Schizosaccharomyces pombe: one gene and its partners. The gene in region 2 interacts genetically with the main gene of each other region. Each region holds a gene or a part of one and is shown on either strand. Other genes may lie near its edges.

Region 1 (7,518 bases), 2.1 Mb from region 2:
TATTTTTACACTCTAACAATAACAGGATTTCTAAAAAAACATCTAATTTTATATCATCCACATGCCTAGAACAAAATTTTATTCAATAATCAAGACATGCAAGATATGAACAAGACCTTTTAGTTCTTTCTTCTGAAAGAGCATCCCTCCATAAGACGAGCCTTACCACCAGTAGGTTGGCAAAGGACAGAGGCACAAGAACCGCAAATAACAACGGTTTGAGCATGAGAGAAAACTGTGGTGATGTTGAAGCATCCAGGGCACTTGACATCCTAAAAAAATAGTTAGCAATGAGTCTTTGAGTTCAAACCATTCTAATTTTTCCCTATTGCCACCATGTTGCCACTTTCAACAAATTGAAAAATATTAACAGTTTATTCTCGAAAGTACAGAATTAGAATAAGGTTTCATTCTTTTAAACATTTGGCATTTGGAAAGCAAACTATTGTTGGAGAAAAATTTTCAAGAAAACTTACCATGAAGAAACTGCGAGGGCCTTGAACAAGCTGCTTCAGCTTGTGCTTGCGCATCTCGGATTCATGACTGGGATTTAAGAGATCAACTGCCAACTACTTTGTTAGTGTTTTTCTGATGATTTATAACATACCACCATCTTGTTAGTGAATTGCTCGGGGTAGAAGCTGAGATGTGTGTGCAGGGTTTCTTGTCTATCTTCAAAAAGCAGTCACACCAAAGCTTTTGTTGTTACTCGTAAATAGTGCAGCACTTTAAAGTAACGTTATGCCATTAAAATTACAAATGCAAGGAAAATATATTTTATTTAGGGAATGAAAGGTTGTAGATTAGCATGCCCTTGTACTCATTTGACACATTTTATATTAATTTAGTTTTTTTTAGCATTTCAGGCTTGTGCAACAATTCTATGCTTTACTCCCCTCTTTATATTCTTGGTGCTTCAGCACCGCCCAAATAAACATTTCAGCCAGAAAACACTTTAATTACCAGTAATCACACGCACAATCAGCTACAAATTAATTATGCGAATAACAATTCGCAATCCACAATCATATGAAAATAAATACACTGCTTTCATACCAAGTTACGCTTTTTTTACATGCTCAAATTGCAACTGTTTACAAATTCAATAGCTACTTACAATGCTCAACCTTACAAATTCAAAATATTTTATAATGCCAAAAGCATCACAAAATGATATTTCACACAAATCGGTTTTGATTCAGTATATGAATAGCCTCATGTTTAACGGTACTAAACTAGTTAATATGCTGTCGGAAACAGATGTTGCAAACTTAAAAGAAAGTTACAGCAAAATTCTCTTACCTTAACGAAACCAATGTCGTTGGCGTACTCACGGAAACTTTGACGAGAGATGTTCAAACCGTACTTGCGGATTAAACCGAGACGACGACCAGTGTGAGCGCTAAATTATGAATTAATACATCACTCGTGTATAAAAAAGATGCTTGCTTACCATTGTCTGCTGCCCTTTCCGTACTTGCGAGGGTGAGAGAACCAAACGTTTTCGTGGGCCATTTTGGTGTGAAGGTAGAGATTGTTTCAAGCGTTTCTTCTACTAGACGAAAGTCGTGACTGCTCTTCTAGGCATAGGGTAGGGCTAATATAGAGAAATACAATGCATTTCGTTATTTGACATTGTGCTCAACAATGTAAATAAAGTATGTATAGTACTATTTTTTAAGTAGAAATTGTTTTCATTAGACACTTAGTTAAAATATTTGTTCAATTGATGGAATAATCAGGATTTATTTTTTTCCTCTCCAGTACCAAGCCTTATATAACATTATATTGTAGCTGGTTTAATAGGCACTTAATGAAAGATGGATTTTCCTTCAGAAAGTAGTTATTGTGGTGTTTTCTACGTTTGATTTTTTTTTTTTTTTTTAGTTTCAAAACCTCTTGTATTTATTAAATTAGTGAGTACTTTTGAACGTTTTTACTCATTCACTTGGAAATCGGTGTACTCGAAAAACATAGCTCATTTCAAAAAATATACAAAAGTTTAACCTGTAAATAATAATAAATTATATTTCTTCAATTAACCAAACAAAAATTATATCCCTCTCATCAAAGGAACTCTAAATCTTTATCAAAATATCTATCATAAATCAACAAAGGAAACCATTAGATCATAAAAAAGTAAAAATATATGTATGTTGACATGTTCAATTGAACACATCTTTCTCCTTTTTTCTTCCTTTGCTTCTTTTTTTTAATATTACTGATGTAAATTCACACAGTACACAGCATCATCAAGTTCGACTGAATCGTTGTTCCCAATGCAATAAATCCCTGGTGAGATTGTCTACCATCCTAAGAGTTTCCTTCTCTTCTTCTGGGCCTTCTTTCGATGACTTTGTGGATGATTGATTACCAGCAGACTGAGCTGCCATTTCAACTTGAATATGTCCAATATACTCTAGCATAGAGGCAACTCTTCGCCGCATCTCAGTCATAGTGATTCTTGAGTGCAATCCCTTAGGCTTGGTTATGGTCTCTACGAACGTTCCATCCGGATGTAATTGAGGAATTCGGTGATTATCGTTCGAACTAGATTTTCCTCTTCTTCCTCCCACCTTTCTTGTTTTTGAAGGCTTCGGTGCGACAGCTGCTGGAAGATCCGCTTTGTCTTCTGCCGCTGCTTCACGTTTAGCTTTTCGCGTTGACCGAGTAGTGGTCGAAATAGAAGTAATGGTAGATTGTTGTGAGCTTTGAGGGGATGCTTCTCCAGACTCCTCTTTTACTGAGTGCTTTTCTTCATCAGCAATCTCCTCAACCGTATCTACAGTTTCTTCTTCAGGGGCATCCGTTTCAGCGACATTAGTAGTAGAGGTTTCTTTATTCTCTTCGTTTTCGTCCTTCGACTCCTTACTATCTTCTAAAATTTCATCATTCTCTTCTTCAATTTTTTGTTTTAAATTTATTTCGGTTCCTTGCGATTCATCTTGGGGAGCTGGTGGAGAAAGAGACTTCGATGAAGTTCGCCTAAAAACAGTTAGTATATCATCTATGAATATCAATGACCATACCCTCTAGATCTCCTCGGTATTAGTGACTTTTCCTTAGCAATTGCAAGATACTCTTCATAATCAAGAGCGGCGTCTCTGGAATTCATAGTAAGACGTTGCTTAGACGACTTTTTGGTTGCCGGAGATGGGGGAGTAGATGAAGATTCTTCTGTTTGACTGGCTTCTATAGGTTTTCCATTTCCAAGATACTTTGATTGTTTAGCCCTGCGGCGAAGTTAGTAACAATAGTTGAAAAACCCAATTTTTTTAATTGCTAGAAGAGAAAAAAGAATAAAATGGAGATATTTGGAAACCACTGCAATTAGTTTAAAGCATTAGGTATTCAGTGGTAAATCCATTTTAAATCCTTAAGCTCATCTGTTATCAACACTTACCCTCTGCCCCTTTGATATACTTTATGGAATTCTGGATGGCATATTTCGCAATAATATACCTCGGGAACTTCTGATTCATCAGCAAATCCCACACAGTTCCCATGTTGCCAAACTGAGCATTGATCGCACTGAATATACAGCCCCCCGTCACTAGCTTCATCGTCGGATTCGACAATTCCACAAACACAGCGGGTTACTTCTCCAGTACTCGATGTTTCATTCTCTTCATTATCGGAAACTGAGCCATTAGGCGTGTGGGGTGTGTCTACGGGAGATTTCTGAATTTTTTCAGACTCTTCCTCTTTTTCTTCATTAGCGGGAGTTGAATTACTCGGCATAATGTATAATAATCGTTTTATTAAAAAATTGTGCTGTGCGCTTGGGGAATGGTGAAGGATTGGAAGATAGGTAATACATTTACCAACTACAACATCAATGAAATATATCGCGAATTGCTGAAACTTCACGCTTTAAGTAATTAATGTATGGGAAATTTGTTTTTTTATATTCATTTAGTGATTGAATGTTTTTGGTCAAAGTCGTAATGGCACTTTGGTAATAGTTAAATAGTTGAATGGCAAAAACGTTGGATTCTAGGATTCAAGCCCAGAGGGAGACTGCCAATGCATTGAAATGATAGTTAATTAAAAAAAATTGATAAAAACCCAATTATCTTTGTAAACATAAACAGTTTAACACCTTTCATTTTTTTATAGGCCCATTTTGCCCGTTGATTTGCCCTTGACCATCGGAGAACCTGGTTTGTCTGGGAATGGTTATTTAAGTCTCCTAAAGCTTTAGCACTGTTGAATTAGATTAAGAAACTTATATGTTCATCTCAAACTTCATATAATTAAACGTATGGTTTGTTTGACCCACTTTTTATGCTATCTCTCTGTACTAATTATTATTGAAATGAGAATTGACTTGATTTGGGAATGCATATTATTATAAGCTGTATTATGAAGGTTGTGAAATCATTTCTGTAAGGTGCTGCTGCTTTTATAAATTAAAAGAGGTTTTGTAATATCGACATGATATTTGGTATTATCTCCATGTATTCGCATTTTACGATGTTCCTGCAATCTTTAGAATGGCGTATGTGCATATTTTGAAACTAAAAAACATCTTACATTTTAAAAAAGGCTTTTTCCTCGCAATGTCAGAAAAGCAACTGCTACTCGGTTCACCGGGAATTCATGAACAAAACAATGAAATTTGATTGTATTTTTCTTCGATACTATATTCAACTGACTAGATACTTATGAAATAAAATAAAAAACTATTTATATCCTTGTGATCAACGTTTGACAGTGAGAAATTGTTATAATTCTAAATTTTCTCTTTTTATTGAAATTTATTCGATGAAAAAATCAATTGTATGCTCTTCCACCACTTCGAATGCTCTATTGATATAAATATATGTCTATGAAAAATTCGTTTTATTTCTACAGAATTTACAAAATTCTCTAATTTACTGCTAATACTGTGTTCAAGTTGGTAAAATATTCGTGTGCCACAAATATCTATTTTGGTATAAATTTCTCATGTCACTCATTAATTGAGATGATAGTGATAAATATTAACAATTTTTTTAGTAATAGTAAGAAAAGAAATAATATTTCATTGCTTTTATATCTGCTGGCAAACCAGAGTAGAGCGATATCGCATCTGTATATCGTAATTTCATCTCTTTTAACAACCAAGAACGAGCATTCCACTCGTACAGCTGGGAAGGTGCTTTAATACATCGTGTACTATAATTTTTCCTATTATTTATCGGGCTTCTGAATAGATTCTACAATTTAATTTATCGAGCTGGTCTCTTTTTGTCTGCTGATTTCTATTCTACGATTTCTCAGGCGTTTTTTATTCCACGTTCTATTATTTGTTTAGAACCATTTTTTTTATATTGCATAGTTCTTATTTTCTTTTAAAATAACTTTCTTGAACGATTCTTCCAAAAAATCGATCAGTTTGCATACTCATACGCTTAGTACTTAATTGTAATTCGTAAAGTTGGTTCCTAAAAACACCAATTTTATAGCTTCCTAGATTTTTTCTCTATTCCTAGTTTGGGTTAATTTATGTCTGGGTATAGTCCTTTGTCTTCTGGACCAGCAGACGTCCATATTGGAAAAGCTGGGTTCTTTTCTTCGGTTATCAACCTTGCCAATACTATTTTGGGAGCTGGAATTCTTTCCTTACCAAATGCGTTTACCAAGACTGGTCTGTTGTTTGGGTGTTTGACCATCGTCTTTAGTGCATTCGCTTCTTTTTTAGGATTATATTTTGTTTCCCAATGCGCCGCACGACTCCCGAGGGGAAAGGCTTCATTTGCTGCTGTTGCCAAGCACACCTTTCCCTCTTTGGCTGTTGTCTTTGACGCTTCTATTGCTGTTAAATGCTTCGGTGTAGCGGTAAGCTATTTGGTTATTGTAGGCGATTTAATGCCCCAAATTGCTCCATCACTTGGTCTCTCTTCTCCAATGTTCCTTAGGCGCCAAACATGGATTGTCTTTGCGCTTTTCGTGCTTACTCCACTCTCGTTTCTTAAGAGGTTGGATTCTTTACGGCATACGTCTGTGATCAGCCTTATAGCTCTTTGTTACCTTGTGTTTATTGTTTTGTATCATTTTATCATCGGGGATACTGTAAAAGGAGAAATCCGCTACTTTGTTCCTGAGTCTGGCTTTGGCTATTTATCTGTTTTGCCCGTTTTCGTTTTCGGTTTCACTTGCCATCAAAATGCTTTCAGTGTAATAAATGAGGTCAGAAATTTCTCTCAAGGGTTCGTCAATTTTACTATGTTTACTGCTATTATTTCTTCTACGCTTTTGTACTTGCTTGTGGCTATTACGGGATATCTTTCATTTGGATCTCTGGCATCAGGTAATATTATCGCAATGTACGATAATACCAGTATTTGGATTATTGGTGGAAAGCTCGCTATTGTTGTACTAGTCCTTTTTAGTTATCCCCTTCAATGCCATCCATGCAGAAACTCTGTTTACCAAGCTATACGTCGCTCTTATTCTGCTCATGATATGAGTGATGGTTATCATGCCGTAATAACATTATGCATATTGTTATTTACTCACTCTCTGGCTCTTTTGCTGTCTTCTCTTGAAATGGTCTTAGCTTTTGTTGGAAGTACCGGTAGTACTTTTATTTCATTTATTCTTCCTGGATCTTTGTATTATTTTTTCTCTCATAAAGTTGCCTCCCCAGGTAATAGCAGCCCTCTACAGTTACGAATTTCCAGGGCCTTCGCTGCTGGACTGGCTATTTATGGCACAGTTGTTATGATTTTGTGCTTAAATATTAATATTGCAAAGTTATCTCATTAATTTTACTTTGGCAATCTTTTTCCAATTTATTTATTTATTTCTTAATTATGCGTTTAGCACTTCGCTCGAAAATATTATTCAAATTCCATTAAATACTAAACGCTATTTCTCTTTAATTTTTTTTTTCTTTTTCTTGTTCATAATTACTTGTTCGTTATGTCTTAACCATTAGGAAACATTCTCGGATTTTGCTTTTACTTCCTTGGTGCATTGCTTGAATTAATTTCCGGACGCAGGATTTGATGCATCTTCAGATGGGTACCATACTAACCAGGATTGACATGGAATATAGTGCCATGGAGGAGCTGAACCTTGTGTCAACGAGGTCTGGCCCTGGAAGTCCGAATCTCTGTTCGCTTTGTTTTCATAGCTTTGATGGTTACTTTCATCCGGTATGTAGTAGAGAAAGTTCATATTTCCTCCATCGGATAGGGTAATTTGAGGAGGATAATAAGGTTTTGGATATGCAGCAGCTTCAGGTAAAACAGTATGATTGCAACCAAATGATTCATAGGCGGTATTGAAAGGAGTATTCGTGTTCCCATAATTTGCCTCATTGGTAATATCTAGGAATTGATATTCTTCGCATATTTTACACAACCTTTCGCATGCATTATTCTCACTCATAAGTCGAAATGCCCGCTGAAATTCACTCTGAAGTCCTTTGACGCTAGGATTGTCAGCAGTATTTGCAAGGTTTCGAGCAGTATTGAAAGGCTCTTCGACACATAAAGAATTGTTCACCTCCATGGCCCAACCTTTTTC
Region 2 (6,598 bases):
TCTTTCAAAAAATTGTAAGTAAAAGGGGCGAGCTATCGATTGAAATTAATAGGATTTCATTTTGAATTAGTAAAATCAAAATTGGTTGATCATATCAATCAAAATCATTGCCTTGACTGTTCGTAATCGGCTTTCTCCCGTACCAACAAACCATTCTAATTTGTTTATTCTTTCCTATTGAAGCGGAAATTTCTTGAAACTTTAGTGCACGGTATTTGTTCTATTGTGGAGCGTTACGTAGTTCTCTATATTTCATTATCTTTTTTCACTACCTCTCTCTACTTTCTCATCGCCATCTGCATACATCAGTTGCGAATCACCTTTTTTTTAACAAACAGCGACTATCCCAGGACGCCGTACATAATTACGCAAAGCTCGTCTGACGTGGCGGGTATTTTACTCTAGTTGTAAATTTGCAGTCTCGCAGAGTAACTTTCTCTTAGCCAAATAATCATTGATTTTTACCCTTTCCAATATGGGAAATACAATTGGGAAAGAAAGGCAAGAAAATGATGAAGAATTGATTCAGCATTTGGTTCAACTGGTTGATGGAGGCTTTCTTGACCCCCAAGGTGTCTATTCCTCCGCTCCGGCTTATAAAACCAACATTGTCAGAAAGCTAATGGTATGATCTTTTTCATCCTTTTTTCTTTTTTACTGCAGAAAACGAACATTAGTTAATTAGTGTTTGAATCGTTTTTAATCAACGTTTTGAACTATAAGATGCAATTTCTAAAAAATGTGTTTACTTTTGTTTCTAATCAACCATTTTTTTCAAAAGTAAAATTTTTTTTTTTGGATTTTGTATTTTCTAATGAACTATCGAAGTTACATGCTAGTAAATCTTAATTTATTTCAGTTTTGTTTGAAAAGTTTTTGTGTTTTCTTTGCTAACATGTTTTAGTTGGAACGTCGGCTTATGCCTTTCTATAAAGGATTGGACTCCTATAGCAAAGATTGGCCTGCTGACAAAGTCGTGGAAGTTGTCGAAAAAGCCCTTGGTCCTCATAAATCGGCACTCCTTCATTGCGCAATCCGTCAATCTCGCAGTCTTTCTGTTGGAAATACCAGATCCCTTAAGCGTGATTCTCGAGGCTCATCTGACCACCTCCTCACCCGGAATAGATCCAATTCTACTCCTGGTAGTATTTCCGCTGATTATCGCACTACAGCTATAACGACTATCTATGCTAATGCTATGGAATGTCCCATTTGTTTTTTGTATTATCCTAGTAATTTTAACTATACTCGCTGTTGTGCTCAACCCATCTGTTCTGAATGCTTTGTTGAAATTCGACGAGCAGAACCACATTTACCTACTGTACATGCTAACGAGCCTACTCCTAACGAGTTTGATCTGATTTCGGAACCTGCTAAATGCCCATATTGCATGACTGAGCGGTTTGGAGTCATATACAAGCCAAACCCCAAGTTAACCCCCTTTTCATTTAATAATAACCCAGATACTCTACCTAGTAATATAGCTCCGATGGGTACTTTGTCGAAGTCTTCTCTGCCTCTACATCACATTCCGTGGCCTCCTAATCAACATATTAAATTCGCGCATGATGATAAAAATGTTGTCAGCACTGATTTCATTCATCCGGACTGGCAATACAAGTTAGAGAGGGCCCGCCGTCGTGCCTTGCGAAGAGCTGCTAATGCTACTTTACTTAATTCCCATTTGCTGGAAACAGGTCCGGCAAATGCAAATGCAAATCATAATACTGATCTATCTCATGATCCCACGTCTCATGGTGGTCCGAGACGTACTTTATCCAGTCGTCGTCAACATTATCTTGCTAATGTTGAGCAACTTATGCTTGCAGAAGCTATTAGACAGAGTTTGTTGGATGCCCAATCCAACGACTCAACTAATTCACTTCCTTCAACTGAAGTATCACAACCAGATTCAACCAATATATCAAATGAGCAAGAAATTGTTCAACCACAACCCACTCACACTACAAACGTTGCTTTAGTTGAGGAAATAAATCGTCCAGATTCTGTTGAATCTGCTATTACTGCATCATCATCTATTGATACCGGTAACGAAAACGAGACACAAGAAGTGAATAGTGATTCTCTACCGCAGTTTGTTCACCAAACCATGACACAAACCAATTTTCAAGAGTCTTCGCCATCTGTTGCTGCTGACGAGACTCGGGTTCATAATGTTGATGAATATATCGAGCAGCAAGACCTAGATGAGCTTATCCATAGCCCCATTGCCTCGACGAACCCTTTTTTAGCTGACCAGTTCGCTCGCTCTGAAACGGTCGATTTGAATGCGCACATTTGCTCTCCGGCTCTCAGTGTCAGTGATGATGGTGTTACGGCTACAAACAAAACGCAAAGCTCATTTCCTTCTGTTTATGAGCATCAGCTTAAAAGCAATGAACTCGAAAGAGGTCATTAAGTGTTATGACTTATTAGTTTTAGTCAAAAGGCAGTTGAAGTTTTTGTTGTCGTTTACTTGTTTCTTTTTTTAATGCCCCTAATTTCTAAATTATTTGAGAAGTCATGAATTTTTAAATATATTTTTGGTTTAATGCTTGTCTTAGAAAAGATATTCAAAACCTTTTTTTTTTAAAAAAACTGATTGTTTTGGAAGTGAGCTTATATTTTTACAGAAAGTAGTTAGGCAATCAGAGGCGATGTGAATCTACTGTATGTGTGTAATTCTATTATTTTTGGTTGGTTTGTTTAAACCGAAATGGGTTTGGGTTCCGATTATTTAAATTATTGATGAAAGCTTTACTAGTTCTTGATGCATCATAATTATTTGGTTTAGTATTTGATTTAGCGTTATCAATTTTATTTGATTTTTATTATTGTTGCAGAATTATTTGGCGTTCTTCTTATTTTGCTCATTATGTAAACGTATTAGCAATTCATTTTTATCAATAGTATCCAACTGGAAACGACCAAGTCTCCCAATGCGATATTGTTGAATTACATAGTTAGAAACAAAATTCTCGTCGAAGCCACCCTTAGTTAGTTTACGAGCTTTGTAGGCAGTGTTTTGTAAAAATTCATCCACATCATTTGTCGGTAATGACCACTTGGAATAAAGACTAGGGTCAATTCTATTTAAATGAAAAAGCAAGTAGTCAACAACTGTCACAGGATGCACAATTCCTTCTTTGACACATCCTACTAAAGATAGCTTTAACATATCTTCCGGCTTAGTTATAGAAGGTGTCATAATTCCTAAAGCAGTTAGTAGATACTTTCGATAATATTAAAAGCCTTTCAAACTTGTAAAAAATTGAAAATTAAACTCAAACTCAATAGCATTTACCTGGAGTATCCAACATATAAACATCCATATCATTAAACAATCGGACAATTTCGCTTATTCGCTTTGTAACACCAGGATAATTCCCAACTATAGCAGATTTCGATTTCCGTAAAGCTACATTTCTTAAAGAGTTTAATATGCTACTTTTGCCAGTATTAGGCATACCTACAAAATAGACATAGACTCTCCCGTTAGCGGACGCTTGATCAACCAACGTCCGAATTAGTCTTAGGAGTTCCTTAGCAAAATAGGGGGCTTTGGAAACGTAAGGAGTGATAAAAGCAGATTTTTCTGGCGTTGAAGTTTCTTTGAACCAACATTCAACATTTTGAAATTGTTGTGCAAGATTCTGAATTCGGTGTTTTGATACTTTTGCCTTGGTATGAAATGTGTCAGCTAAATCACATTTGTTGTAGACAATTATCCTGTTCTTTTTATTAAGAAAGTCTTCCATAACGTAATTTCTTGATGTTAAAGGAATTCTCGCGTCTCTCACTTCAACAAATATATCATTTGAAGATGTTAAGTTTTTTAATCTCTTAAGAGTCTTATTCATATGACCAGGATACCAAGTTGAAGGCATCTGATATTCAAATGTTTGTCTTGCTACAAAGGCCATGGAATTATCGGTTTGCCGCTATAGCTGGTGAATGTTTTAGTTTTAAAAATCTTTAAGCTATCCAAAATTAATGGTTATAATCTCATAAGCTTTTTAGGTGAAATAAAAAAAGTTAAGTCATTTTGTTGAGACAAGTATTCTTAGGTGGTAGTGTTTAAAAAAGTTTCCCACTTCAACTCACATTAAAAATTAAGAACTTCTTTAATTCAGTCCCAGTAATTAAATATTTCATCAAAAAATGACTGAAGTAGAAAGTTCTACTGAAAATAATGTTATTGTGAATAAAAATAAGCGATATAGACGGGACAAGCCATGGGATACTGATGATATCGACCATTGGAAAATTGAACCCTTTACTAAAGATGATAGTAAAGAATCATTTTTAGAAGAATCAAGCTTCGCTACTTTGTTTCCAAAGTATAGAGAAAAATATTTGCGTGAAGTTTGGCCACATGTCACTAGAGCATTGGATAAGTTTGGCATTACATGTGTTCTCGATTTGGTTGAAGGAAGTATGACTGTAAAAACTACAAGAAAAACATTTGATCCATATTCCATTTTAGATGCTAGGGATTTAATTAAGTTGCTTGCGAGAAGCGTTCCATTTCCTCAGGCAGTCAAGATTATGCAGGACGGCGTTGCATGTGACATTATTAAAATAGGAAATATTCTTCGCAATAAAGAACGGTTTGTCAAACGTCGCCAACGGTTAATCGGTACTAACGGTCAAACTTTGAAGGCATTGGAATTATTAACACAATGCTACATTTTGGTGCAAGGAACAACTGTCGCCGTTATGGGAGGATACAAAGGTTTAAAAGAAGTTCGTCGAATCGTCGAAGATTGTATGCATAATATTCATCCCATTTATCATATTAAAGAATTGATGATAAAGCGAGAGTTGGCGAAAGATCCAACTCTGGCTAACGAATCCTGGGATAGATTTTTACCTCAATTTAAGAAGCGTAATGTTGCTCGTCGTAAACCTGCGAAAATCAGGGAGACTAAAGAGTACACTCCCTTTCCTCCTGCTCAACCTCCTAGTAAACTTGACCTTGAGATTGAAAGTGGTGAATATTTCTTGAAGAAGGAGGAAAAGGAAAGGAAAAAACGTGCGGAAAAAAAGGAACAACAGAAAGAAAAGAAGAAAGAGAAAGAGAAAGAAAGAATGAAGGCTTTTATTCCTCCTGAAGAGTCCTCTAAAAAGCGTAAAAGGGATTAGAACGAGTACCGGGTTTATATTGGATTGGTTTAGTATTGGAAAATAATATTTGTTTTTGCAGAATATATTTAGTTTGCTATCGTTCCTTCATGCTTCTTGGTATGCTTGGTTGCATTGTTGGAATGCGAGTAGTAACTTATTTACAAGAATTCTAATTTGTTCAAACTCCGTAGTTTTTAGGCTTTCAAGCTATATATAATAAACAACAAATACGTTACAGTACAATTGCAACTCAAGCTTATTCTTTTATTCTTATTACAGTAATTAAAATTAAAAGAACATTTATTGTTCATATATCAATTTGAGTGTTTTCGCTTTTTTTATTTTTTGAATAAGGGAAGCTCAACGCATAACAGTTTTTTATCTAACAGAAGTCGCCTTCCATATTTTTCGTCTTGATTCAGCACCTGGAGCTATGTGAACAAGTTGAATACCGCGACTTCCTTCATCAAAAGCTAATACAACACTTTCATCGCCTTTTCCTTCGATGTGATTTTGTTTTCGAAATGAAGCTCGCATCTTAACAATTTCATTTGCAAGTTTGTACCTGGCCATACTGCTAGCGCCCACTGTTAACTTGTCACTTTCAAGCAAATCCTTTATAACTTCAAAAGGAAGATTACAGAGTAAACGAGCGTATTCAGTATTCCAATTGCTTACGAGAGTATTATACATTACCTGAATAGCCTTGTTGAAAAGTCCAGAAGTGAATCTTGGATACATGCCCATCTTAAGACGCTCAAGACCTTCAAAGTTAGGGTCAAGAAATCTTATCACAGATTCCATAGTTTCTGGCCTAATCGACTTTTCTATGAGTGAGGATGCTTCGAAAGCCAACGTGTCTAACCCAAGAAGATCACTAACCGCTAAAACAGAACAAACATTCACCTCAGCAGGGATTCTTGGGGAATCGCAATACAATGTAGAAAGCACAAACAAACAGGATTCCTTAGTAACATAGGGATCCTCTGTCTCTACTTCTATGGTATAATGTACATCACCTTTGGGATTATTTTCAATAAGCTTTTGTAGAAGAACAGGTGATCTGCCAAGAAAAAGGGCATGCAAATGATATGTTTCACCTTTTATAATGAGAGTAGTGTCAGAGAAAGTTCCCTGTAAAAATCCTGCATTAAATACGAAACTTGAAATCTAGCTAGGGTTAGACAAACTCTTTGAAGGAGAGGTAAAATATTCAGACTTTTTTTGTTTGGAAATCGTTAAACAAAACATGAACGATTTAACAATAAATCCAAAATAATTAACTACGCAAACAACCATTAATTTGAGAGTAAAGTTCATACAAGAACTGAGACTCAAGGTACGCAGAAGTTCAAATAGCAAAAATACTTACTGAAGATACCGGTTTCATTATAGAGGGCTCTTGAGAAATTTCCGTTGAGCTGTTCATTGACATGATTGTATTAAAGCCACATCCGTTAGGAGTAATAAA
Region 3 (9,547 bases), 1.6 Mb from region 2:
TCAAACCAAAAAGCAGAAAGTGATGATGGTTCAGACATCGACGATGCGGCCTTGTTACAAAAAATTAATTCTTTACCGATTGACCAGAGTATCACAAATTCGGTGAGCTTGGAAAAGCATGATTTTCAAGGAAGTGATGACCATGACTCCTCTACGGATCTTTCCGATAGTACTTTGGAAGATGTGGAAGGAAGTGAATGGGCAGACGTATGGATTGAAAAGTTTTTTTTTAATACTTTTTACTAATAAAATTTAGGTGAGCAGGGGTAGATACTTCGGGTCAGATCCCTCAGAAAGTATAGTTTGCCATAATTGTAAAGGGAATGGTCACATATCTAAAGATTGTCCTCATGTTCTGGTATGCATTTTGATCGGACATTGTTTTTTTAATAGTGTTACTAACTGTATTACAGTGTACGACTTGTGGAGCAATTGATGATCATATTTCCGTAAGATGCCCCTGGACTAAGAAGTGCATGAATTGTGGACTACTGGGTCATATAGCTGCGCGATGTTCGGAGCCGCGAAAAAGAGGACCTAGAGTTTGTCGGACTTGTCATACCGATACTCATACTAGTTCGACGTGTCCTTTAATTTGGAGGTATTATGTCGAAAAAGAACATCCTGTTCGCATTGATGTTTCTGAGGTTCGAAAGTTTTGTTATAATTGTGCATCTGATGAACATTTTGGAGACGACTGTACTCTTCCATCTAGATCAAATTATCCTGAAAGCACTGCATTTTGTGAAGCGAACTGTCCTTCTGGAAATGATGCATCTAACAAGGAGTTTTTTGAAACCCGTCGTAAAGAGTTTCAATTGGAGAGGCGAGAGCAGAATCGAAATCAAAAATCGTCGAAACAACGGCCTTTTCACAAACCAGGAAATTCTCTAGCATCTAGGCTGGGATCTAAGCCAAAAAGCTTTAAAAGAAAACATAGCCCACCTTCTGAGGAGAATGGCAATTTATCCTTTCATTCTTCAGATGGAAGAAAATTTACCAAAACTTCAAAAAAAAATCGTAAACGAAAATGGTAATTCATGTGCTGGTATTATTCATCGCATGGTGTATCGCTCTGCTCACATTGCATTGCACTCATTGATAATACTATCTTACTAAAATTTATTGGCAAAATCTAAAATATATGTACATTAATTTTATACACTCTCATTTGCTATGTTCGCAAAATTTGTAATGTTATTGACCTCCATCATCAAAATTAAATACAAGCTATGATAACGGAGTAAACCATAGTTAGAAAGCAAAACAAAAAAAAACAACCAAAATCGAAGATAACAAGGCAAAACAAACAAATTTGCTTTAGGGTAAATAATGACAAACCGCCCACCAGAGTCTAAAAGAATGTGACACGATAATTAACGCAAGTTTAAATAAGTGTTACATCTGACTCTTACAAAATAGCTGTTTTTAAATTAATCAAAAAAATTTATGAAAGGCTTTCATGCAAAATAAATTGGTGAAGAGCCTTACCACCAGGGACAAATGGATACACATGTTCCTTTTGGGCAACCAAAACTTCCATAAGCACAGGACCTTTAGTTGACAAAAACTCCTTCATTTTTTTAGCCAAATCTTCTCTCTTTTCTACACGTAGTGCTTTGATGCCCATAGCGTCAGCCAACTTAACGAAGTTGGGATTCTTTTGATGAGTATGAGAATAGCGTTTCTCATAAAACAAGTTTTGCCATTGAGTGACCATGCCTTGCTCTTCATTATTTAGGATAAGAATTTTAACTGGGATATCAAATTGACGGACGGTAGCAAGTTCCATACCAGTCATTGAAAATGAAGCATCACCATCAATATCTATAACAATATCTTTAGGTGCAGCAACGCTAGCACCTATGGCAGCTGGGAGACCAAATCCCATAGTACCGAGACCACCGGAGGTTACCAAAGAACTAGGTTTTGTCCAACGATAGAATGTAGCGGCCCACATTTGATGTGCACCGACACCGGTGGTAATAGTGACTTTGTCCTTTATGTCAGAAGTTTGTTTGTCAAGTTCTTGAATGACTTCTTGAGGCTTTACCAATTCACCAGGAGCGCTACGAGTGAAAGTGAAAGGGAAGCGTTCCTTCCATGTTTGAATTTGAGATAACCAGTCAAATCGGGAAGGAATTTTAATATTTTTAGTAGCAGAATCTAAAAGCTTTAGAGATTCGTATACATCGCCCTCTATTGCTTCAGTAGGTTGTACGACCTTACCGATATTTTTGGGTGAAATATCAAAGTGAATAATACCGCCACGCTCTTCGGCAGCAGCAAGACGTGCTTGAGGAGCAAACAAACTTACGTTACCGGTGACACGGTCGTCAAAGCGAACACCAAGAGCAAGGATAAGATCGGCTTCCTGCATGGCCATATTAGCGTATCCACTACCATGCATACCGAGCATATGCAAACTAAGGTCAGAACGTTCATCTACAGCACCAAGTCCAAGCAAAGAAGTAGTAACAGGAATTTGCAGCCTTTCGCTAAACTTGCGTAACAAAGTGGGGCATTCGGGATTAGCTAAAACACCATGCCCACAGAAAATCACAGGCTTCTTGGCTAATTTTAGTAAATTGGCAACACGATCGATCTTGGCAGTAACGTTCTTGGAGCCCTCTTCTAAGACTTCCTTCATTCTGCGATTCATTGATGGTACAGAAGACAGTATAGGAATGGGCTCCTTCAAAACGCTAGCAGTGACATCTTTGGGAAGGTCAACCAATACAGGGCCAGGGCGTCCAGAAGTAGCTATCTCAAAAGCTTCGTCTATACGACGGGGAAGATCAGCAACATCTTTGACCATTACATTCCATTTAGTACATGAACGAGAAATACCAACCATGTCAGCTTCTTGAAATGCATCACTACCAATTGCGCTGGTTGCTACTTGACCAGAGAATACAACTAGGGGAGTACCGTCGGCCAATGCATCAGCAATCGGGGTAATCACATTCGTAGCACCGGGTCCAGAAGTAACCAATACAACGCCGGGTTTTTTAGTAACGCGGGAATAAGCTTGGGCTGCATGTCCAGCAGCTTGCTCGTGTCTTGGCAAGATAAATTCAAAATGAGGAGATCTATAAATTGCATCGAAGACAGGCAAGATAGCACCACCTGGATAACCAAATACATGCTTAACATTATGCTTGAGCATCATATCATGGAAAATTTCACCCCCAGTCTTTCCAACAAACGAGCTGTCATATTTTATAGGACTAGCCGTAGTCACTGTAGAGGTGCTTTTGGTCGAATTTGCCCGAACGACACCGAATGCATTTTTTAATTTTTTAATTCTCAAATTATTACTAAAGCCGGTGCCATACCTCCGCACAGCTGAGCAACTATTTAAATTTAAAAATCTCTTTTGAAGGGCAATTTCTCGTCCATAAGACGAGAAAGCCGCCCTCGTATGCAATCTTCTAAGGGGAGCCAGCACAGTCATTATAAATAACTTTTAACCCTCAATTCCTTTCTAGAAAGAGCTATCTTTCAAGTTGCAAAAGATCGGTATGCTGAGCGGTATGAGAAGTGAGCAGGTTCATTTTTGCCTAAAAACATTGGTTGTTCACCACCACAAAAAAGATCAGATTTGTTAACGATAAGTACTGTACCCCGGAGATTAAATATACCGATGCATAATACTATACCCTTTGAAGTCGTGTTATTATTCTTTAAAAAGTTCAGATGATGTAGGAATACAATTTATCTATTTATCCATGTCTCCTTAATTTTTTAAACATTAGTAAATGCTGGAAAACGTCAAATAAATTTTTCTTGATCCTAAATTATAAGTTTCCTATCGATTCAGCTTAGAAAATCGTCAGAATTATCTTTGAGCATAATCTGTTTAACACGTAAGAGATCTTAGATACTTTCGCTTTTTTAAACATTAGTGAGCCTCTTATTAGAGGAATTGCAATGTTTATTGTACATCGACGGTTTTTTCAAAATGAAAAAGCTTTTACGCCTGCAGGAAAACATGAAAAAGTTGCCGACGGAAACAAACATGAGACATTAGCTACTTCAGAATACCCGAAAGTCTGTGCATCAAATGACTTGTACAAAATACTCCAAATATCTGCTCCTAAGGTTGGCAATTTTACAATCCATGATGCGCCAGTTGTTGGACTAATTGACTCTATTTTGGAATATTATTTGTATATTAGTGTCAAAGTTCGAAAGGCATGGATTGCTGGTTATGGAAGTCAGCCCCAAAACTTAATATGCTTTGATTGGGAACGTTTTACGGGTATTCTAGATCAGCAGAGTCTAAATAGCCCACCGTTAGCTGGATTTGTTAAGCCAGATCCAACATCAGCAGAGCCTGGCTTTTTACTTTTGTGGCCTGCTTCGGGCGACCTTTTCTACTGGGAAAGAACTTCTTTGATGAACGTTGAGGTTTCTGCTCCCGAATTTCCTGGTTTTCTTCATTACAGGATTCAACTAAAACGATATGAAAGCTGTAAAAATTTGGTTAGTGCTGAGCCTGCTGGCTTTTTCCTTACTCTGAGTTCAGGTCGGTTGCTTCATCTGAATTTAAAAGATAGCGATGGCAATTCCTCTATTCAGGTTCGAATCCTATTTCCTGGATTGCACATCCCCAACTGCTTGCTGTCGTTATACAACAGTATCTTTGCATTTACTTCAGGAAGAGTTATTCCAATACGTTGTGGTTCAATAAAAGGACCTGGTGAGAGATTAGTTTATTCTATGCATTCTGGAAGCACATTGCGAATTTGGGAAATATTCGGGACTGGTGATCACCACTTGTTACGTGGTTTTGACATTTATGATATAATTTTAGATAGTATTCAGGAATCCTTTTCCTACGTAAATCGATTTCTAATCCTTGATTTTTCTGTTTCAACCTCGGATCCTTATACGTTAGCTTGTTTGGTTTCCTGGCGTGATAATGCTTCATTATTCAATTATGCTGCAATCATTATTTCTTTCAACCATCAGATGATACCTCATGTTTCACAATTCTGCCATGTACGCTCATATCTTTCTGCAATTCTTCCATCAGTGTGTCGAATATTTTTACCAAGTCCAGGTACAGTTGTTTTTTGCGTCTTCGATGTCACTTTTGCTATGTTTCATAAAGTGCGAGGGAAAGAAGGCACTTTTTATGTCGAAGAAAACCTGGTTGTGAACAACCTAACTTCCAAATCTCGGGTTTTGGATTTTGGCATGGAAGATGCGATATATGAAAAATCTACGCACACCTTACTAAAAACTCCAGCATTGATCTTGTTAACAGAAGGGCATGGTATAATCCGAATTGAATCTTCTGCTAGCTACCTGAAAACCAGCTTTAGTGCAACCACCTATTTACGAAGTCGTCTCTCCCAGTTTGCATCGCAAAGCCCTTTGTTCCGTGTAAGTTGTTAATTCTTTCGTATCTAACATATAGGAACAATTTTTGTTAAATTTTGACTTTACATACAACCTCTCTGAAAGCGAAGTCTATAATACAGTCTTTAATCTTTGTGATGAACTTTATACGAGTAAGATAATTTTTTCATGATATATTACTAATTGCAATCAGCGCCATGTAAAAAAAATATGTCTGTATTAGAAACACTACATTCTCAGCAACGTGACTTGATGGAAATAGTTCTTGTTGCCTTCAAATACCTACATTTATCTCCTTCTAATAGACTTCAATTATGGCTAAAAGTTGCCTATTGCAGTGCTTTGGCAGACCTATATGAATTATTGATGTGTAATGAAAAAATGTCTAACTTGCTTCGACGAGTATTGAAAATAATGTCTTCAAATGATAATATTGATGAACTTTTTTTGAAAAAGTGCCTGAATATAAATTTGTTATTACAGCATTTAAGCTCGGAATATTCTCAAATATCTGGCCAAGATGCTAGCAACGCACAAAAAAGAATTGAAGTAATAGTAAATGTTAATAACGTTTATGGGGTATGTTTCTTATAAAATAACGAGGTTTACTAATATTAGACTATCTTTGGAAATGAGCTTGCTTATAGGCAAGAAAAAATATCAAAATTTACTGATCCATCCTCTGTGATTAGAAGCGACCTTTGGACAGTTGAAGTTGATCACTTAGATTTACTACGAAAACAGATCGAAGATTCGATATCATTGCATCGCGATGTACGTGACTCGAAAGATGCACACATATTAAAAGTCAGTAACAAGCTTCGGAAGCAGATTTTGCATCTGGTGGAACAAAATTGCCTTTTGATCTTTGATTTGCACAATGGAACAGATGATACCATAGTAAAATCGCATAATTTTCAAAAATTTGAAGAAGAATTTGGCAATTCACGAAAAGAATGGTTACAATATTTAGGTAAGCTGTTTCTCACTTTCTTGTTTCCGCTAACAAAGAAGCTTCTGTCGGATATTTGGAAAAGGCAATCGACTTGGCGGAAAAAGTTAAAGACTTTCAGACAATGGTAATTTTGCTGGATTGTCTAGATCCAAAGGATCCTACCATTAAGCTTCAAAAGCAAAAAGCATGCTTAAATAAATACAAAGAAGAATTCGCAGATGTAATTTTTTTTTATTTGGTTGATACAGAGCAGTATGCGTCTTTGCTTCATGATTTCTTGGAGTATCAATCACTTTTAATATCTTTTTTTGAAGCCAATGATTTATTGAATCTTTTGTGGATATTTGAAGCTCAAAATGGAAATTATGGACGAGCCTCCGAAATTCTTTTCCGTGATTGTGAACCAGAAGAAAACAGGATTATCGGTAAAATTTCGCAGTTAGCTCTAGCAAAGCTCTACTCATGGACTAATAGAATTGAAGGTGAAAATATCATATTGTCAAATGAGACTGAGGTGATTGAAAATCATTTAGCCATTTTGCTTATTCAAGAGCAATATGCTGAAATGCTTTCATCACTTGTGGATATTACAGAAGACGAGGGAGAAGCTGTCGAAGCAATAGTAACTTCCAATTGTGTAAATCTATCAGAAAACTCTATCAGAGCCTGGCTCGTGTCTAGTGCTGTTGAGCGATTAATTCAAAACGAATACACTACGCTTTGTGAGATGGTAGATTTCTTTTCTTCTTTTTCATTACGGGAATGTTCATTCAAAGAAGTTGATTTGGCCTTAGAGTTATTAGAAAGAGCTACAATCACTAAGGACGTGTATTTTTACTTAAAAGATCTCGTATATCGCCGTTTTCTATTACAGGTGAACTGGGCAGAAATCATCGATGCGCATGAAGATTTAGAATCTTCATTTTTTCCAATGGTAAAGGAAATTATGTTAGAATCAGACTTTTTAATATGGTTACAACATATGGAACACAATATTCACGACGAAAGTAAACATTACTTGAAATCGGAAAAAAATTTTTTGCAAAGTGTATATTCTTCACTTTCTGAGTCGCAAGTGGAAGATTATCAAATGGAGCTTTTTCGTGAAAAGCAAATTTTCTCAGTACTATGTAAAGATAGAGAGTTATACATTCTGATTCCGAAACTTCTGGACGTAGCAACAAAACAATGAAATGAAATTTTGCTATATATTACTTTACATTTCCTCAGTAATCGATAAACACCTGTTTAAACCTAGTACTACTTATGTTTGTATAATCTATCGTATAGCCTCAGCTCCGACAACTCCGTTTTTACGATGGTAGATGCTAGATAATCACTGGTTAGAATATTTACGGCTTAAAATAATTAAATTTTTTTATTATAGATTCTTGATTTATTATGATGATTGCGCCTTCGGGGCTTTTTCCCTGTCCTGGATAGCCTCACCCTTACGTTGGAAATTAAGCTAAGGCCTAGTGTGTTGCATCCAAGTACACCTTACAACTAACGTCCACTAAAACACTCAAACCACATAATCATTTGTTAGTCGAAAGAAAGCCTGTAACTTCTATTAAATTATAGTAATTGGTTTTCTAAATTTTGTTGTTTTTGGTCGGCTACTGAATCGCAATTGGACTTCAATCTCTGTGGTGAATGCAGTGAAAACAAACTGAGATTTGTGTGGCATTTGTTAGTGAGGCTACAAATTGACTACATAAAAACTGCATAGTCCTTGCAATAAAAAAAATTTTATCTGTTCGGTCAATTCCTTGTGACAGGGTTATTTATCATGAATTCCCAAACGAGCGTAGTAGGGGTTCACTATCGCGTGGGTCGTAAAATAGGTGAGGGATCGTTTGGTGTTATTTTCGATGGGATGAATCTTTTGAATAACCAACTTATTGCTATAAAATTTGTATGTTCTTTGTTAGGATGAGTATATGGACAATACTAACAATGGACGTTAGGAACCCAAAAAGTCGGAGGCACCTCAGCTCCGTGATGAATACAGAACTTATAAATTACTAGTTGGAAATGGTATGTTTTTATTTTGCTACCCAAAACATATGGTCAAGACTTTGGTACTAACCGTATTTGCAAATAGCTGGCATTCCTAATGTTTACTATTTCGGGCAGGAAGGACTACATAATATCCTTGTTATTGATTTACTGGGACCTAGTTTAGAGGACCTATTTGAATGGTGCGGTCGTCGATTCAGTGTCAAAACGGTGGCTATGACGGCGAAACAGATGGTAAGTTTCCTAAGTTGTTCCTATAAGGTTTTCAATTTGTTTAAATTTTCTCTGACATTTCAAAGCTTTCCAGAGTTCAGACGATTCATGAAAAAAACCTTGTTTATAGAGACATCAAACCCGATAATTTCCTAATAGGCCGACCTTCCTCTCGAAATGCAAACATGGTATATATGGTTGATTTTGGTATGGCCAAATATTACCGTGATCCCAAAACCAAGCAACATATACCATATAGTGAACGTAAAAGCCTCTCGGGGACTGCGAGATATATGAGTATAAACACGCATCTTGGACGTGAACAATCCCGTCGCGATGACTTAGAATCGTTGGGACACGTCTTTATGTATTTTTTGAGGGGAAGTTTACCTTGGCAAGGATTGAAAGCTGCCAACAATAAGCACAAATACGAAAAGATTAGTGAAAAGAAGCAATCTACCTCCATTAGTGAGCTTTGTGCTGGATTTCCTAATGAATTCAGTAAATACATGACTTATGTGCGTTCGTTAGAATTTGATGAAGAACCGGATTATGCGTTTTTACAAGAGTTATTTGATGATGTACTTCGAGCAAATGGTGATACGAATGATGGGGTTTATGATTGGATGTTATTGAATGACGGTAAAGGTTGGGAGTCAAGCTCTTCTCATTTTTCTGTTGTTGCTATGAAGCGACGAAAGAATTACCTTGGCTTAAATGTTGTTCAAAATGATGATTCCAGAAAAAAGAACAGTACTTTGCAAACACAGAACATGCGATTTAAATCCTCATATGGGGTGAGAGGTCCTAGAAATTACTCATCGTTCGATGCGTTGCCGAGCAAAAACGCTCCATTGGTGCGTCAAGAACAGTCTGCTTCTAAAAAAACAATTTATGCTCATTCTTCTAGAGGTTACGATAGGGTTCGACCTATGTATGTATCTCAGCCCTCGAATAATGCAGTCGGAGTAAATCATCCTAACGATA

Evidence for each region. A genetic interaction does not mean that the proteins touch.
Region 1: mutations in mtg1 (region 2) and cti6 together harm fitness more than expected from each alone (negative genetic interaction), as found in Schizosaccharomyces pombe (one large-scale study listed by BioGRID).
Region 3: mutations in mtg1 (region 2) and nup131 together harm fitness more than expected from each alone (negative genetic interaction), as found in Schizosaccharomyces pombe (one large-scale study listed by BioGRID).

The regions. Positions count from the first base shown.
Region 1 is NC_003423.3:510,439-517,956, reverse strand, and holds cti6 (Rpd3L histone deacetylase complex PHD finger subunit Cti6), read right to left. Parts: upstream 3,803-7,518; 5' UTR 3,742-3,802; coding exon 3,404-3,741; intron 3,234-3,403; coding exon 3,030-3,233; intron 2,986-3,029; coding exon 2,253-2,985; 3' UTR 2,004-2,252; downstream 1-2,003. Other genes in the region: rps27 (40S ribosomal protein eS27), read right to left, coding at 120-272, 477-569, 608-613; rps29 (40S ribosomal protein uS14), read right to left, coding at 1,222-1,230, 1,303-1,402, 1,454-1,515; vacuolar amino acid transmembrane transporter Avt5, read left to right, coding at 5,491-6,753; poly(A) polymerase Cid11, read right to left, coding at 6,973-7,518. UniProt on the Schizosaccharomyces pombe protein: Could be a component of the RPD3C(L) histone deacetylase complex (HDAC).
Region 2 is NC_003423.3:2,601,809-2,608,406, forward strand, and holds mtg1 (GTPase Mtg1), read right to left. Parts: upstream 3,924-6,598; coding exon 3,305-3,923; exon of another isoform or gene 3,296-3,304; intron 3,214-3,295; coding exon 2,846-3,213; 3' UTR 2,779-2,845; downstream 1-2,778. Other genes in the region: SPOM_SPBC25B2.03 (zf-C3HC4 type zinc finger), read left to right, coding at 476-625, 905-2,419; rRNA-processing protein Mis3, read left to right, coding at 4,162-5,145; BTB/POZ family ubiquitin-type ligase substrate adaptor Btb2, read right to left, coding at 5,506-6,297, 6,500-6,562. UniProt on the Schizosaccharomyces pombe protein: Mitochondrial GTPase involved in assembly of the large ribosomal subunit. Plays a role in expression of the mitochondrial translational machinery.
Region 3 is NC_003423.3:971,019-980,565, reverse strand, and holds nup131 (nucleoporin, WD repeat Nup131), read left to right. Parts: upstream 1-3,719; 5' UTR 3,720-3,933; coding exon 3,934-5,394; intron 5,395-5,428; coding exon 5,429-5,522; intron 5,523-5,563; coding exon 5,564-5,949; exon of another isoform or gene 5,950-5,988; coding exon 5,989-6,343; exon of another isoform or gene 6,344-6,384; coding exon 6,385-7,517; 3' UTR 7,518-7,544; downstream 7,545-9,547. Other genes in the region: TRAMP complex zinc knuckle subunit Air1, read left to right, coding at 1-207, 257-358, 414-1,037; ilv1 (acetolactate synthase catalytic subunit), read right to left, coding at 1,448-3,457; serine/threonine protein kinase (CK1 family) Cki2, read left to right, coding at 8,118-8,243, 8,296-8,365, 8,433-8,581, 8,647-9,547. UniProt on the Schizosaccharomyces pombe protein: Functions as a component of the nuclear pore complex (NPC).